Astyanax mexicanus: one gene and its partner. The protein of the gene in region 1 purifies or fractionates together with the protein of each later gene. This does not show direct contact. Links are inferred from orthologs where the notes say so. Each region holds a gene or a part of one and is shown in the gene's direction. Other genes may lie near its edges.

Region 1 (9,148 bases):
TTTTGTATAAATAATAGTAAATAGTAAATACTAGGACATTTGCAATGAACATATTCAACCCAAAGCACAAATAGCTGCCTTCCATATTGCAATTATTGAATGTAAGCTGTGAGTATATAGATGGTTTGATTGCTGTTTGTGCAGCTTTAGACATACCACTTGAAAAAATGCGGAAGATATGTCCTTTCATGATGAAACAGTGTAAAAACAGAACACCAGACCAGCATTGTTTTAAAATAATAATTTAAGAAAAACAACATGGTTAATCTGTGGCAGAAGAATAAAATCTGGATATGTTTTGGGCAGGCTGAGGGATGTTTTGGGCATGGGTTTATGATGAGATGAGATGTTTGTTAGCAATGCTATTCTAAAATCTTCTGTTCTTAACAAAAGAAGCACTTGTTAGATATCAATCCTAGCCAACTGACTGCATCTGTTGTAAATTGTAAATCATTTAAGTATATCTTTTCTATCAAACACTTACTTTGAATGCAGTTAAGATGAGTTTTGAGACATGTCAGGGTTTGTTTACAGATGTTTCAAAGTATACTTATTCTGGCTGATAACTTTATTTCCACACTTTAAAAAAAGGATAACCCTAACTTTTATATTGGGTTTAATTTCTAATGTTCAGTCTGATACTAAGGTGGGATATCCCAGCACAGTGTGAAATAATAGGCGTTTTGTAAAGATGAGCTCGGCACAAATTGTTCCTCAGTATAGTAGATGATGCGTGTGCATTCGTGCCTAAACCACAGTCTCATCATGAACCAGAAAAGAATGCCTCTGCCCATCCCTTTAAGTGAGGGGTGTGTTCCGGAGTCTGACATGTTTGCTTAATGCTGTGAGCTTGTTTGTGTGTGTGTGAGTTTATGTATGTGTGTGTAGATGTTCAGGGTCAGGCTCAGGCTCAGGCTTTTCCTGTCTTGTTTTTAAGAATTTATCCCCACCTTGTCACAGATTGTATTACATGATCTGGGTTCAAGAAAGCAAATGATGATGATAAATAAGCAAAAAATAATCTGTGTCCTATGGCAGAGTGTGTTTACTGAGGCATGCATACACTAGCTTATGTTTTCCTTCATTGTATAAGCAACGCAGGAATTTCTTGTAAATAGTCTGTATTAGGGTTTGAACTCATGATTGATATGAATACACAGCTTATGATACACGGCTTACGATTCAAAATATAATGATGTATTATGATACTTTAAACAAGGTGATTTATTGCAGTTGTTTAAATAAAACATAAATCACTTTTTCAATCATATTTACAGTAAAATCTGAGTGCAATTAGAAGAGGGGGGTCTAACTACAGAGAAGAACACTGCTATCTACTGATATTATAGATATTTTGTAACCTTTCTGTAACCACCAACTCTCTCTGGGTTCACCATGACTGGTCCTGTTTTAAACATCAGTGCCACTGCACTGGTTCCGTTTAAAAAAAAATTTAGGGTACGACATGAAAAAATGCATGCCTGCCTCATTCTCGATCGAGCCTCGAGAAGACGTGAAGGGTTAAATCCTTTCAAACACTGTTTGAAAAGGGAGGGAAAGAAAGAAGGACCAGCAGCGTGAGTGGAAATCACACATATGCAGCTAACTGAGCGGCCTGCGCAAGATACGCACATATAAGGAGCCCAAGGTAGGCAGTAACTCACAAAGCTGCTCTAGCAGCCTCTGGTCCCCATGGCAACGGCAGGCGGCCTCTATCGGCTCCATCTGAGAATAGGTAAAGTAAATCTGCATGCATTTGGCTACCCGCCAGTGTCTCAAATGAAAGAGCACTTTGAACGGCTGCCAGGTTTGGAGGAGGAGAGGGCCTGTCAGGCCTGCTTAATGTTGGCAGTTTGTACTTGGCAAGCCTTGCCTTTTCCCAGAATCCCTTAGTCTGGCAAGCTGCCAGCTGCTTAGCGGAAGCTGAGAGTTAACCCCTGCGATGGGCCTGGGGAAAGCTGAGCGCTGAAAACTTTCCACAGTGTGTGTGTGTGTGTTTTGAGGCAGCGAGGCACACAGTGTGATCTGTATGCATGAGAGGGCTGCGGGGATAGCAAAGAATCTCTCAGGGAGAGGGAAGAAAAGCAAAATATCCTGCGCCGTCTGCACACACAATCAGACCGTGCAGGTTACTGCAGAAGCTTTACCAGGAAAGTCTTCTGGATGCTAATTTGTGTTTAAGGCACTTCACTGGGGCTAGTTGTACAATCCTGATCGTTTCCAATGTTTATTTTTTGTCCCTACAAAAAAAATCAATGGATAACTCTTTATATATGAACGCTACTTACTTCATAGCATGTTCGTAAGCATTAAATAACGTATTTATAAAGCAATACTTGTGTATTTATGAATATGTGTTGTGTCAGTAGTCGCAATGTGACATAAGAAGAACCTCAAGCAGTGTATCATATTAAATATCAAATATCATATTTATATACATCTCTGAAAAAAAGACCACTTAAGAATGATGAAGTTTCTTTGATTTTACCAAATTGAAGACCTTTGGAATATAATCAAGAGGAAGATGGATGATCACAAGCCTTAAAATCAACCAGAACTGCTTGAACTTTTGCACCAGGAGTGGCATAAAGTTATCTAAAAGCAGTGTGTAAGACTGGTGGAGGAGAACATGCCAAGAAAATAGTGATTAAAAACCAGTGTTATTCCACCAAATATTTATTTCTGAACTCCTAAAACTTCATGAATATGATATGAATATGAACTTGTTTTCGTTGCATTATATGAGAAAAAACATATAATAAAACTTTAAATATTTTTTTTTTATTTGAGGTCTGAAATCTCTGCATCTTTTTTATTATTTTAGCCATTTCTCACAAATACCTATAAATAGCAAACTGAAACTGATTCAGAAACTGAAGTAGTCCCTTAATTTTTTACAGTGCTATATTTTTTAACTGTTTCAATTAATGTAATTGTATTTAAAACACCTTTAATACATTTTTCTTTTTTAAAGAGTAACTAAACCCCTTGATTTTAGGACCAAACATTTTTTTATTTTTTGAAGGTTAGGAAAGTTTTATTAAACAGGACTGGTATGTTTTACTACATTGCTGTTTACAAACATTGCTGTTTCGAGTCTGTGAACAATTATGTTAGGGCATTAAGTTAGACAGACTAGATACAGATAAAATAGTGGAGTGAACACAGATCGTATTTACCAGCGCCAAGATTAGCTTACTGTTTTATGAGAAATTCTGTAGTACAGATGAATTTTAGGGGGCATGCTTGCTTATCTAACAATGAGTGCATCAGGCAAGACATCCACTCTTTTAGTGATATGTTTGTACATGTTCATACGCAATGTTTTCCTACTGAAATTGGGTCTGCTTTACTGCAGTGTTCCTGCAGTGACGAGAACAGTCTCTGCCATTTGTCATTTTTTCCCGTTTAGAAAATACAAAATGGCAAACCAGCAATGAAATGTTCTGGTTGCTTGTTATTCTGGCACTAATAACTTGGTATATACTCAGGTATATGTTCAGATGTATTGTTAAATCTTTGAGTTATGTAATCTATAATTTCCCTGCAATATTTCTAGTAAATGGTATATAGAATAATAAAAATGGCTTGTGTAATGAGCTGCAGAAGCTATATTTGCTTACATATCTACACACATACACTGGCATGCCATAAATGGATGATAAAATAAAGCGTATGCATAACAAACAGCAGTATAGCAGTGTGGTACATGACTGGCAGTGTCTGCCTAGAATTGTGTATGCAGACAAGTGACTGGCATAAATCACAAACACTTTTAATGCAGATTAGTGTAGCGTTTCTCTTGTCCCATGACATTTATCTGATAAAAGAGACCATCTCTGTAAGACTAGGAGATGTCCAACACAAACTGTAGCAACAGATGACTGGACTGTAGATATACAGTACATCTGCAGTGCTGGACTACAGATGGACTACAGTCTGTAATTATGTACTGCAAATGAGAGAATGTTGGGAAGTGTATAAATGTTTGTATAGGTGTCACTCCATGTTTTGACCCATGTGTTCCGTGTTATTTTCTACCAGTGTATGCTTCCATACACATCCAGTCTGATGCACTTAGTATGCAACACTAACGGGGAGGTAAAAAAATGCCTTGAGCGAGGCTGAGGCCATGCCTGGTTGCTTTTTGCTCATACATTACATGTGTATTACATTTGGTGCCAGCAGTTGGTAGGGATTGCAATAAACAGCATTTTCCACATGTACAGCCAACCACCCCACCCCCCTTTGCATTCCTTCTCTCCTGGAGCTCTTATAGGAAATGTCTGTGTGTGTAGTCCTGTTTGAGTGAGAGAGCAGGGTTCGGAGCTTTGGGGGTGGGGCACTCTGTTTCTGTCTATCCACTCACTGAATGCAATCAGTGTGAAAATAACAGACTGAACCAGCAAAACTAGTGGGGTTTTTTTTAGATCACATTTATTCACGTTTATTTTGAATAGGGATAATTTAAAGGTTAGCATTATACATACATACATATGTTACTGTAGTGTTTCTAGGTGGTTGTTATGCTATTCCACATGGTATCTAGGTAGTTGTGCTGTGCTTTCCTGGGTAGTTACTCTATATGCTTTTGCTACACAGGTGCTTTAGGATTTAAGATGGCCGCTGTGCTATAAAGAAGTGTACATTTACAAAGTATTTCATAAAAATATAAAATTACAGTTTTGTCTACTAAATATTACATACTTTTCTTTACCTGAAAAAATTACTTATTTTCTGTAGAAGATTATGGAATTCACCTGTATGTATACTGTTCTATAACTGTTTTATCTATTTCTGTAAGAGAACAGTATATGTTCAGTCTGTATAAATGACAGTACCTTCATTTTATATATGAAACATATACCTTTGCTGGATAGCACACTACCAGTCTGGAATAATGGAGGAATTGTCTTGTATGTGCACAGACCTTAAACTGTTCTATGACAAATTTGCAATTATGGAATGTTTTTGTAAGACATTAGAAATTTGTTTTAATTGTTTATACATAGAAATTACCTTGTTTTTTATTTTTATTAGGGATGAATATTTATATTTACTGATTATTCATTATAATTGTCTTGTATATACACAGATCGTATGGAAATTATGTTTAAATTATTTAAGGAATTGTGCATTAAGTTAATACAAAGGAAATATTAGTGGTATTTTTTTTTACCAGAATATTAAAAAAAAATGTGGCATATTTATCACAGTGCAGGAAATCAGTACTGTAGTTTGCTGATGTAAGCATTTCCTCTGCTTGTAGTTCCAGTGTTGAAGTGAACAGATGTAGGAGTTAAACAGCAGTAAAGCTCGTACTGGTGACTGGCGAGTTTCACAGAGAGAGACTGAGAGCGGCTTGTTTTCCCACAGACCCTCCTTGTTTCTAAGCGAAAACTGCTCAATTTGGTGCGTCCGTGTTGTGTGTGTGTGCGCGCGCGTCTGTGTGTGCCAGTCCATTCAAAAGATTTAGTGGGGAGTGGTTAGCGCATGCGCACTCTTACAGCAACAAGTGGCATGTCGATGTGTAACGGAGAATAGCGCGTTGCTGCTGCTGCTGCTACTGCTGACGTCACCGCTCCGGCCAGGTGGCATTCCGCGCGCAGGGAGAGAGCGCGCGCTCGCTCGCGCGGAGGACGTGTAGGCACCGTCAGGAAAAAAAGGGAACCAAAAAAAGAAAAACAAAAAGTAAATCCCACTAAAGGCAGTAAAATGTGAGGCGGAACAGCGCAGCCGAATCCTGCAAGACCACCACCGCCGCTGCTTTGGTCCTGGAGCTCGAGGAGAGAGAGAGAAAAGGGAAAAGGCTGCAGCGCGTGTGTGTTCAAGAGAGAGAGAGAGAGAGAGACGAAAAGAAAACACAGCGCGCGAGGCTCTTCCCTCCCCCGTTTGCTCGCGCTGCTGAGCGGCTGAAGCGGAGCGGCGCGCGTGCAGCAGCTGCAGCAGCATGTCTTCCGCGCAGGTCGCTTCGTCACGGCGGCAGTCGTGCTACCTGTGCGACCTGCCCCGCATGCCATGGGCTATGATTTGGGACTTCACGGAGCCCGTGTGCCGCGGCTGTGTAAACTACGAGGGCGCAGACCGCATCGAGTTCGTGATCGAGACCGCGCGGCACCTCAAGCGCGCGCACGGATTCCAAGACGGACGCTCTCCGGGCCCGGGAGGCGCGGGGGTCGTACCACCGCTGCCGGTGCCCCCGCCGCCGCTGCCACCTCCACCGTCGTCCTCGTCGTCGTCGCTGCCTCCGCTGCCCTCCGTGAAGTCGCACGGAAAGGAGACCACAGTGCAGCTAAACCACGTGGACGGCACAAGCAAGCAAGCGCAGCAGCAACAAGCGGGACTCGAGCGCTGCTACTCCTCGCGCTTCGACTACACGGGCACGGGCATGAGCGCGCACGCGGCGCGCCTCCCCAACGGCCTCCTGAACGGCTTTCCGAAGACGGACGACGGACCTCCCGAGCTAAACCGCCAGAGCCCCAACTCGAGGCGGGGCGGCGGCACTCACGGACTGGTTTCTCTGCCTGCGCAGATGAGCGTGCCCCCTAACCTGCTCCCACAGACCATGCTTAACGGACCCGCTTCGGGCCTGGCCGCGCGCGCACCTCCCTCCTCATCGTCTTCATCCTCCTCCTCGTCGTCCGCTCTTGGACTTTCGGAACCGGGCAAGCGCCCCGCGTCCGTCTCGAGCACGGATCAAGAGCGCGAGGCGCGCGAGAGGCAGCGCAACGCCGAGGCTCTGTCCGAGCTCGGGGAAAGTCTACGCAACCGAGCTGAAGAGTGGGCGAGCAAGCCCAAGCTCGTGCGCGACACTCTGCTTACACTGACTGGATGTGCGCCCTTCGACGTGCGCTTCAAAAAGGACCACGCGCTCGCGGGCCGCGTGTTCGCCTTCGACGCTGTAGCCAAGCCGGGCGCAGACTACGAGCTAAAAATCTTCGTAGAGTACCCGAGCGGCTCCGGCACCGTCTTCTCGAGCGCTTCAGGGGTCGCCAAGCAGATGTATCATGACTGCATGAAGGACTACGGCCGTGGCCTTTCGTCCGGCTTCAAGTACCTCGAGTACGAGAAGAAACACGGCACCGGCGACTGGCGTCTCCTCGGCGACCTGCTGCCCGAGCCCGTGCGCTTTTTCAAGGAAACCCTGGGTGCCGACATGCTCCCCCAGCCGCACGTGGACGCGGGCTGCCCTCTACTCCCCTCTTCGGCTCTTGCCGGCATGCTCCCACGCGCCTTACCGGCTTCATCTGCTGCATCTGCAAGCGCGCTGCGGGCGGGAGCCCGCAAACGCAAAGCCTCTCCGGAACCGGACTCGCTCGAGGAGCGACAGCAGCAGCAACAGCAATGGATGGCCAGCCAAAATGCGTTGGCCGCGGTGGGGGGCTCATTCGGGGCATGCCACGGAGGACCACCACCACCATTGGGCCCTGTACATGCTAGCCGGGCCACTCCTCCAGAACCTGCACAGAACGGACAGTCGCCCATGGCGGCGCTCATGTCGGTAGCGGACGCTCTAGGCGGTGGAGGTGGAGGCGGCGGCGGGGGCGCGCATTCCCCGAAGGACGCAAACTCTGTGCACTCCACTACATCCGCACGCCACGGCAGCACCGGCAGCGGCGGCAGTGGCGGAGGTAGCAGTCCCGTATCTCCGGCTTCGGTCTCAGGCCAGCGGCGCTTGGCCTCGCGCAACGGCGACTCACAGCAGCAGCAACAGCAGCAGGCGCACGCGGAGCACGCCGGTGCGCACGGGGCCCACGGCGTACCTGACTCTCCCATGGCTGGCAGCGGTCCTCTGTGCTGCACCATTTGCCACGAGCGCCTGGAGGACACACACTTCGTGCAGTGCCCCTCGGTACCCGGCCACAAGTTCTGCTTCCCGTGCTCGCGCGAGAGCATCAAGGCGCAAGGCGCCACGGGCGAGGTGTACTGCCCCAGCGGAGAAAAATGCCCCCTGGTCGGCTCCAACGTGCCTTGGGCTTTCATGCAAGGGGAGATAGCGACCATTCTGGCCGGAGATGTGAAGGTGAAAAAGGAGAGGGACCCTTGAAATGCTGTTGAACATTTCAACAGACCGACTCAAATAAATATATATAAATAAATCTATATATATTATATATATATATATAAATAACCTTGTTGTGAATAATGTGTACAGAACACCTCACTCCTCCTTGTGTTTTTGTGTTTTGGGGGCTCTTGGAGCTCCCTCGAGCCTCTTGGGAAGGAGGACACTGTTGGCCCAGGACGGTGGAGAAGCACTTTGAGGTCACAGTCTGTTGTTTTTTTTTTTTCTTATTTTTACAAAAAAAAAAAAATCAGTTCACGCACTTCGTTTAAAGTGGTTACCACATCCCAAAAACACAACACAACTCCCCTTCCCCTTCAAAAGACCCCCACCACCCCACTTTTTTTGTACATGACATGTTTTGTCATTACTTACGGTAAGACGACTTGGTTGGTCACATGATTTTCCACGCCAATCAGTGTCAGTGGGGCATTTCTCTTCTGATTTTTTTTAGTGTTTTTTTTCTCATAATGATGTCTCTCTTTTATATCTCGTGCTCTCTGAAAGTATGACTATAGTTTACTACATGTTTTTCATTCCGACTCCTTTTGTTTTTGGTTTGGTTTTGTTTTGCATTAAAGATGCACGGATGCTTAAGAGTAGAGCAAAAATACTGTACATTAACTGCTCTGTTTGTTTATACGGTTCTGTAGTAACAGAAAACTTGTAACGTGCCTTGGAGCTGAGTCAATTGTAATAAATTCATTGGTATGAAGATTTTGTCAAGTGTCAGTTTGTTCAGTTCGAGATGCATTGGCACTGTACATGGTTTTCCCACACGGCACTGGTTTATTTGCAACATGTTGCACAGGACTCCTGTCTTATGATATTAAGAGGAATTTTAGGTTAAACAGGAGTGGTCTATTTTCTTTTGGCAAGCTAGCATAGTTCCAGAGAATGACTGTTTATTTCTTAAGCATGGTGTGATCAGCTTTCAGTGTGCAAGAGGTGGTTGGTGATGGTTAAAAACTGTTTCTTAATGTTTTGTTGACTCTGTTTGTGCTTTAACTTGCAGTGCATGTCAGGGACTGTTGCTTTTCTTGCTTACTCTGAAGACAACTGTTACAGTTGCATGATTTTTAC
Region 2 (8,757 bases), on another chromosome or scaffold:
GGAGAGCATTAGAGATTAGATCGGGCCCAAAAATTCCAACTGGCTGTTTTCGGGCTGTTTTAATGAGCGAAATATGATCAGAATTATGTTAATTAACACGGTAACATAGAAGCATAGAACTATTATTTAATTAAAATGATTTTTAAGAACAGCTAAACACAGTTCTGCAAGTCAAACGCGGAGGAGTTCACGTGCGAGAGACACAGAGAGAGAGAGAGAGAGAGAGAGAGAGAGAGAGCTACTCACAGGTGAAGGTTCTCTTTGATCTCCTCGTGCTCATATTCTAGTCCCATTCATAATTCTGCAGCTCCCTCAGTGTTTTCTGCCGTATTTTGCGGCTAGCGCGAGCGCTTACAACTGCGCGAGGTGCCGCCGCGTTTGTGCCGAATCCGACTCTCTGCTGAATCTGACTCCCGCTTCGCGGACAGAATCGGCACAACACCCCCGCTGTAGAACTGCGGTAGTGAAAACAGCGCTTATAAATAAATTAGTTTAGTTTCACTTTCAGTTTTCGTTATTTTTTTTTAAATAAAAATATAATTAAAAAACAGACGCCTACATCTCGGACTATTTTCTGGAGCCCGGGTCGGATTTACGGGCGGGCCTCGGGTCATGTCGGGTTCGGGCAGAGAATCTAAGCTCTAGAGAGCTTGGACTCCGGAGAGCAATCTCCAGCTACAAAAAAACGCCAGCGGGCATCTAAAGTTTGGGAGCATTTCACGCAAAAGGGCAACAATGTGGTCCTCTGCCATACGTGCAAAAGGAGCACTTGAAGCGCAAACATCCAGGAGCACTATGTCAACAGGGTCACACAGTAAGTTACCGTTTACATCAGGGTCTCCGCGGGTGTCCTTAAAAAGACTTAAGGCTGTCTACCAAAGGTTTTAAACCTGCCACAGGCAGAAATTATACATTTTTGGTTTATATTTGTGCATGGCATTTCGCAGTTTCCAGAAACAGTAGCATTATTCATACGTTCAGGTGTTTAGCTAAGCTAGCTGCCTTAAGTTATTTTAGCTAGCGCCGTCGGCGCTGCGGTGTCACACCGTTTTCTGTCACCGTCGGAATTTTGTGACCAGTGCTCACGGTTATGAGCGTTCATTGGCAAAACGGAAGCTTTCTATACCTACACCTTACCCTCAGCCCTAAACTGAACCGTTTTGGCCAGTCGGGGTAAACATTAGAAACGAACACGTTTCGAATCGGCCAGTGCACCGGTCTGCTGAGAACTACTTGCCAGTGGTCACAAAATCTAGCGGTCACAGAAAACAGTGCAACACACGGTTGTGATGTATGGGAGCTTATCCATTTTTAGCGTTATAGATCTAAACAACGTGTTGTACATGTAAGTGATTATAAGTGTGGGGTTTGGTTTAGTAGGCTTGTGTTGTTGTTGTTGTTGTTGTTGTTGTTATTATATATAAATATAGTAATTTATCGTTTGCTTTAAAACGTAAAATAATTATTTAAATATTTTTCTCAATGAATAGATTAGTCGACTAATCGAAAAAAAATAATCGTTAGAATAATCGTTTAAAAAATAATCGTTAGGGACAGCCCTAGACCCAGACAGGATTGGCTACGGCTGTTTTCCGGAAGTGGATTGTGATTGGCTGTTTGTCAATGTCATAGCACTTGCACGAAAAACCCGGGAATAAGACACAGAAGGCCCACTTCGGAAAAATGGCGCTACAAGGACAGCAGCAAGTATGTACCTAAATGTACATTTGTACACGTTTTAATAAATATGAATCCATTGCTAATGAATCGGCATTTGCACTCCACCATAAATAAATAGGACCTGTTAGGGACGTCCATAAGGGCCAAGGTCACGTACGTTAGGAGTCGCTCAAAAAGATGGCACTTCAGAATATTCTGCAAAGAACAATATATATATATATATATATATATATATATATATATATATATATATATATATATATATATTTAATTTTAATGGACAGGAAATATTACAACAAAAAATTACAATCAATATTATATAAAATTTTGAATTTTATGGAAAAAGGCAACAGCAATATATAAACCTATATGTAGTAGCCCCCAACCCTGGTCCAGAATTTCTGTTTCTGAGGTTTCTGACGGTTCCTACGCAAGTGTTGATAAGCATTAATAACCGCATATTTACTTCGTTTACGTTCATAACCGCAGATGAAATTTCCCCCCATTTGCCCTGCCATAGTGTCATATTTCTGCTAAGCTCAATTAGGTGCACTATATATCTAATAGTGAATACCTAACTGCATTTTAGCCAGCCTGAATGTGTATTCAGTGGCGACATACATACCCAGCAAACAGCTCGCGGACGTCCTTATTTGAGTATTTTTAAAACGTTTGCTATAGGACGTACGTGACCTTGGCCCTTATGGACGTCCCTAACAGGTCCTATTTATTTATTTAAGCCGAAGGCGTGGCAAATTCCACTCTCGCGAGTGTTTTGCCTCCTCGCGCGCGTAGCTCTCCCCGCGCGCGCGCAGCCAGCCTTCTCCGCGCGCGCGCGAGTGTGGTTTTGCTTCCGCGCGTGCGCAGCCAGCCCTCTCCGCGCGCGCGCGAGTGTGGTTTTGCTTGCGCCAAGCCCTCTCCGCGCGCGCGCGAGTGTGGTTTTGCTTGCGCCAAGTGACTTTGCTCGCTCGCGAATTTTGACACGGTTTTGACGCCATAGCCATGTATCGTGAGATTTTGGCCAACAACCTCCTTCCCTCAGTAAGAGCACTGAAGATGGGTCGTGGCTGGGTCTTCCAGCATGATAACGACCCAAAACACACAGCCAGGGCAACTAAAGAGTGGCTCCGTAGGAAACATCTTAAGGTCCTGGAGTGGCCTAGCCAGTCTCCAGACCTGAATCCAATAGAAAATCTTTGGAGGGAGCTTAAAGTCCGTGTGGCCCAGCGACAGCCACGAAGCCTGAAGGCTCTGGAGGAGATCTGTATGGAGGAGTGGGATAAAAACCCTGCTGCAGTGTGTGCAAACCTTGTCAAGAACTACAGGAAATGTCTCATCTCTGTAATTGCAAACAAAGGTTTCTGTACCAAATATTAAGTTTCTTTTTCTGGTGTATCAAATACTTATTTCCCACAATAAAATGGAAATTAATTATTTAAAAATCATACAATGTATTTTTCTGGATTTTTGTTTTAGATTCCATCACTCACAGTTGAACAGTACCTATGATAAAAATTACAGTCTTCCACATGCTTTGCAAGTGGGAAAACCTGAAAAATCAGCAGTGTATCAAATACTTGTTCTCCCCACTGTATGTAGAATTGGATATCAGCTATTATCTCCCTCTGCATGATAAAGTAAGATATTAGAAATTGTATGTATTTCCAGTTAAGTTTTTTTTTAGCATCAGGTAAATAAAAAACAAAATATAACAGAAAACAACACTTTTTCCTCATTTTCACATTAGGTCTGTAGGATAAGTCATATTTTTATTTTTTTTTTACTATATGAGTTTACTGTAGACTGTGGTCACATAACTGGAGGCAGAGCTAGGTCCACTCACACCAAAGTATTACTTATCCTGGAAAAGTGCTGAAAAGCTTTTGTGAAGTTTAAACTAATTTCAGGATCTTATTTTTTCATCTTTCACATAATATCCAGCTAGGTTATCATATATTGTAAACCCCTACTTCCCACCTACCAAAATAGCAGGTGTGAGAGTTGCTGTGAACCACAGTTTGGATCAAAGCACCAAAATTGAATCTTAACAATAGAACCATTGTTTGATTTGTTTGCAGTGTAAAAACATAAAAAAAGACTTTCAGGTTACTAACAGAAATTTAAGGAAGAATATCTTCACCAATTAAGCAATAGAAGAAGGAAATTAAGAGGTGTTGTGCTGAAAATGGGAATCTTATGCATATGGATTGTTTTTTACTAGAATTAAGGTGGTCTTTGACTTTAACACAAAGGAACTTTGTTTTGCATGCAAGTTTGTGATGTTGCACAATCTATACACCTGTGTCAGAACTTATCCAAACAATCAGCAGGTCTTGTGGGTGTTCTTGCTATGCAATGGTCAGTACCTACCAACAGTGTTCAAAGAAGGACAACCAGTGAACTAACGACATTCATGGGCACCCAAGATTCATTGTTGCTGATGGAAGCCCCACCAACCTCACCACTTACAGGACTTGCTGTAAGTCTTGGTGCAAGACACCTTTAAAGGTCTTGTGTAGAACTAGGCTTGTGGTTTAAATGCTTTGGCTGATTATTGTATATGGATATGTCAGGAGTGTGTGTGAGAGAGATATTTCACCACTAGAGGGCAGTAAAGTATAAATGGAAATCTCATTGGAGAACACCTCCTTATACCAAAGCTTATCCCAAAGGTTCTGAACAAGGGCTTTTATACCCTCTAGTACAGTTCTGTTTGGGTGAGTAAATTGTAAAGAGTGGAGTTTACGTTTTAACTGTGCTTTTGGTTGGTTTTGGCCTCCTTTTGATTTTACTATTACCCCCCTCCCCTGTGCAACACCAGTGTGGTGCATGCTTGTATTACTGTCTTTGTGAGGACTTGTCCATTTATAAAATTTAGTGGAATTGCATGGATTTGGAAACACCTTAGCAGCCCCATAAAAACTTAGCAACAACTTAGCTACATACATTTCTAGTTTTTTTTTTTTTAACAAAAAGTCACAGTTCTGTCTAAGATGTGTTGTATAGTTGTACAGATGTGTGCTTTTCAACATCAATAGGATCCTAAAAAGCACTAAACACACACACACACACACACACACCATATATACACCTTTCTCCACTCTCCTCTCCCCTTCAGGAAAAAAAATCTGATATTTGAGGCGCTCTTGGGATTTTATTTTTTGCTGCGCATGCGTAGTGCAGCCCAGCTCCTCGCGCACAGGCAGGAAGCTCCCCGCGCGCACACGCTCTCACCTCCATACCGAGCAGAGGCAGCGCGCGAGCGGCGGTGCAGTCGACTTACAGCGGGCTGTGAGGAGAACCGGCGCGATTATTTTGTTTTTGTCCCCGATTCATCGATTAAATCCTTTTTAATCGTTTGCATTTGATTATAATCGCGTCGTTTAAACGGGCTGAACGTTTTTTCTTTATTTGTTTGTTTTTTTTTTTCAGCACGGGAGAAGTTTAAAGGCTGGGCCTTAAGCTTTTGAAGGGAGAAACAAACCACAAACTAATTTAACATTTTACATTTTGCAACTTTATTCGCGAGCAAAAAAGCTGGTCTTTTTGCTGTCAAGTGTGATAAATAAATGCTTCTTACGAAAATGGACCTGTTGAACTACCAGTACCTGGACAAAATGAACAACAACATTGGCATTCTCTGCTATGAAGGTAAAACAACGAGTTTATTTGAATATTTTGCTGTTAAGTTACGTAATTTATTTGTAAGGCTTTGTAAGGAAAAACGTAAAAAGTGGTCGGAAGTTGGTTTGTTGTTGAACTTTTTGTTCCACCTTAAATGCTGCTGCAGTTCCATTCAGGAGCTAGCTGCTACATTTAATGTGGAACGAGAAAAAAGTCAACTTATGCTGTTGCAAAGGTTATAATAACTTAATTTAGGCAAATAAGTTGTAGGTAATAGTAACCGTTTGCGATATGTTCTTGCTGAAAAATATCGAGATACTGAATAATTAGTATAATTTTAACTTTAAGAGCTGTAGTAAAACCTCTGGTTTGAAACACGCTGACTCTGGTTTGTTGTTGGACCTGTCCACCTTATATGCTAATATTAATAGGGCGTAAAACACTATGAAAACTTTACTGGGTTCTTTAGATTAATTTGCCAGTGTTAATGATAGCAAATACGTCAACAGACGTAATAGCACCTAATAATTATCAAAGCTAATAGATATTCAATCTCGGCGCCTAAATAGACCTGCTGCAGAGTTTAAGGTGGAACGGAAACTTCCAAAACCAAGCGAACTTTCGCGTTTGGGAAAGTTATTCTGACTTCAATGTTATGTTTTTCACAGTTAGAAAAGATTAAATTGCCTTTTTTAGGCAAATAGACATGCTCTAATTTATTTTTACATTGAATTTCAAAGAATAAAAACTCACAAAACGTGTATGCTGGTAGGGTTAATATATTGCCCAGTCCCAACGTTTTTTAACATTCAGCATGTGTTCTCTCTTGTGTAAATATCTTTAAATTGACCTATTTTACTGTAATTATACCAGTGCTATAATTGTGCTGCTTCATATCATGGTGATTGTATGGGTTTAAAAGATCTACATGCACTTAAACAGTCTGTTTTTCCAGTGTGTACTCAAACTGTTTTTCCCACCGCACTATTGCTTTGGCTGTTTTAAGACTTGGGAAAGCCCATGAGTTCATGTCATAGACTGTGTCTATGGTTCATGTGTACTTGGGGTGCTTTATGGATTTTGGAGATTTCCTGTCTTACCCAGCTTTGGGTGTCTATAAAGAAAGTTTATAATCTAACACTATAAATCAGAGTGTTTGTCTGATATCTTTCCAGAGTTTTGTAACTACAAAATGTTCTTTTAATTATGTGTGGTACATTTCCAAATGCTGGTAGACCTCCCTTTGCCAAGTTGCAAATATTGCTGACACAGATGTGCAAATGCACACGCAAACCCCAGGTTGTCTAGTGCATGTAGAGAATAGAGAAGTATTGCCAATAGAATAGGACTATCTGGAGCAGATGAAGTAATAGATGAATCTGTTGCCACCATGCATAATATCAGGCCTAGAATAGTCTAGCAGGTATAGCGCCCAATCCCAGAGACCAATGTGGGGCACCTCTGGAATGATGGTAGTCCATCCAATACTTTTCGTGTTTTCGCTCTCAGATCGTCACTCAGTACAATCAAATCCTCACAGCAATGTTTGAAAATCTCATAGTGAGTTTTTCTGCCTAGTGAAAAATGAATGTGAAAAATGAATCTGAAGTCTGGAGTGTTTACACTAGGACTTAAGGGCTGTTCGGCGGGTGATTGTGGATGTAGTAATGGGGGTGATTGTAGAGGGTGTTGTGGGGTATCAGAGGGTGGTTGTGGGGGTGTTCTGGTCTGCGCCACTCCGTACCAGCCTCCTGTTGTCAGCCATCACTTGTCGAGAGCAGAAACGTGATCCAGGACCCTCTCTGCGCCGGGGCACGGGGGTGTCTGTCTGGCATGAGAAATGGAAAGCTTTTAGCTCCAACTTTCTGAAATTTAACAGAGGACAGCAGGCAGGTTCATCCATCACCTAAAGTTCAGAACATGAGCCGGGATGAACTGGGAGCAGGGGAAGGGTACGGATGTTTTATGGCTTGATCTGGAAGTTGTTACGGAAGTTGAGGAGTTGGAGTTTTAGGATCCAAGAAATAGACTCTACGCTGGAATTTATTCTGACTTACAGTTAGGCCTCTAAAGATAACCAATTTTGTTTGAATGGCATTGTCCAAGAAATATATGCGATACACAATAACCTGTGATACGATGTCAATCACAATACAGGGATTACGGTTAAGTATATTAAAATATACTGCAATACTATAAGCTAGGAAATATATATTATTTTGTATTCAATTTGATATTGTCCTAGTGTGAAATTTTTTTTTATAAAATCAATGGGTAAAGAAATGCATATTTTTTGATTCAGGAAGATTAAACAACACTAGTGTTGTCAACCAGTGTATGACACATCTTTACACCTAACTAATAATTAAGAATCGATAGTGCGTTTTTGAGACTGTGAGAGACTGTTATTAAGAATTTGTACAATATTGCTAAACACAATATCGTAATACTTCCCTATTTTCTTACACACCTACCCAAAAACAATGATGAAACACGTCCTCATTGTCTGAACATCAAGCCTATTCTTGGCTTAAATTGCAGTGTCTGTGATGAATCAGTGCTGTAAATGAGTTTAGGAGCGGGTACGCCTCAATCAAAGTCTGGGAACTGGCTGCAGCTGTTTATTGGATTGAAGGATTGACTGTATTAGATGTAAGAGTAGTAAGATGAGGTTTTCCAAATTATAGTACTAAAACTTTTTAACAAGCTCTTATTGTCATAAAAAAACTACAGATTTAGACAGATGTGTGGTGTGAACGGTTGAGTTTTATGTGGTAAATCATTATTTTTTTATGTTGGCTGTTTTTGTTGATGATAAATAAGAAGGTATATGCTTCCAACTCTTGTTTGTGATGTGTTTGTTTTCGCAGTTGTGCATTGTATCATATACACACTGGCAATTAGAAAAGGTTCTGTTTTAGCTAAAATGTGTGAGTGGTGGAATGGGCAAGTGTCTGCCTCCAAAACTGTAAAGAATATTACAGTAAACCTAAATAAAGTCAGTGGTAGGTGAGTTTGTTTATCTTAAATAATGTGTAACGTTATGTTTATTTGGGTTTTAATCTAGCATTCTATGAAGTTAATTACAGGTAGACACATTCACTGACCAGTGACTTTTTCTGTATTTGATTTTATTTTTTTTTTTATGTAAAAAAGTGACACAAGACTTATATTAGCAATACCTACAAACATTCTTAAAGCTTTTGCAAAACTAGTTAACGACTTGTGGATTGCAACATTGTTCCTCGCCTCCTCCTCCTCCTCCTCCTTCTCCTCCTCATCCTCATCCTCCTCCTCCCCTCAACTCAGTGACTCACACTTGTTTTCAGATAACTCTGCTAAGATAACCGGGCCAAATGGCAGAAAACTCTCCAGCTAAATCAGGAGGCCTAATGATGGGCATTGCTGTTCTACAGGGCAGCTGTTGCTTCTTTGGACAGTTATTTGTCTTCA

Evidence for each region.
Region 2: the proteins of irf2bpl (region 1) and vgll4b purify together in Homo sapiens (affinity purification with mass spectrometry; 3 studies listed by BioGRID and IntAct, counting the BioPlex papers as one, with this or other methods). This does not show direct contact. The link is inferred for Astyanax mexicanus from reciprocal best matches to the Homo sapiens genes IRF2BPL and VGLL4.

The regions. Positions count from the first base shown.
Region 1 is NC_064421.1:18,442,489-18,451,636, forward strand, and holds irf2bpl (probable E3 ubiquitin-protein ligase IRF2BPL), read left to right. Parts: upstream 1-5,505; 5' UTR 5,506-5,950; coding exon 5,951-8,047; 3' UTR 8,048-8,780; downstream 8,781-9,148. UniProt on the Homo sapiens protein: Probable E3 ubiquitin protein ligase involved in the proteasome-mediated ubiquitin-dependent degradation of target proteins. Through the degradation of CTNNB1, functions downstream of FOXF2 to negatively regulate the Wnt signaling pathway.
Region 2 is NC_064431.1:14,401,592-14,410,348, reverse strand, and holds the start of vgll4b (transcription cofactor vestigial-like protein 4b), read left to right. Parts: upstream 1-4,912; 5' UTR 4,913-5,249; coding exon 5,250-5,331; intron 5,332-8,757. UniProt on the Homo sapiens protein: May act as a specific coactivator for the mammalian TEFs.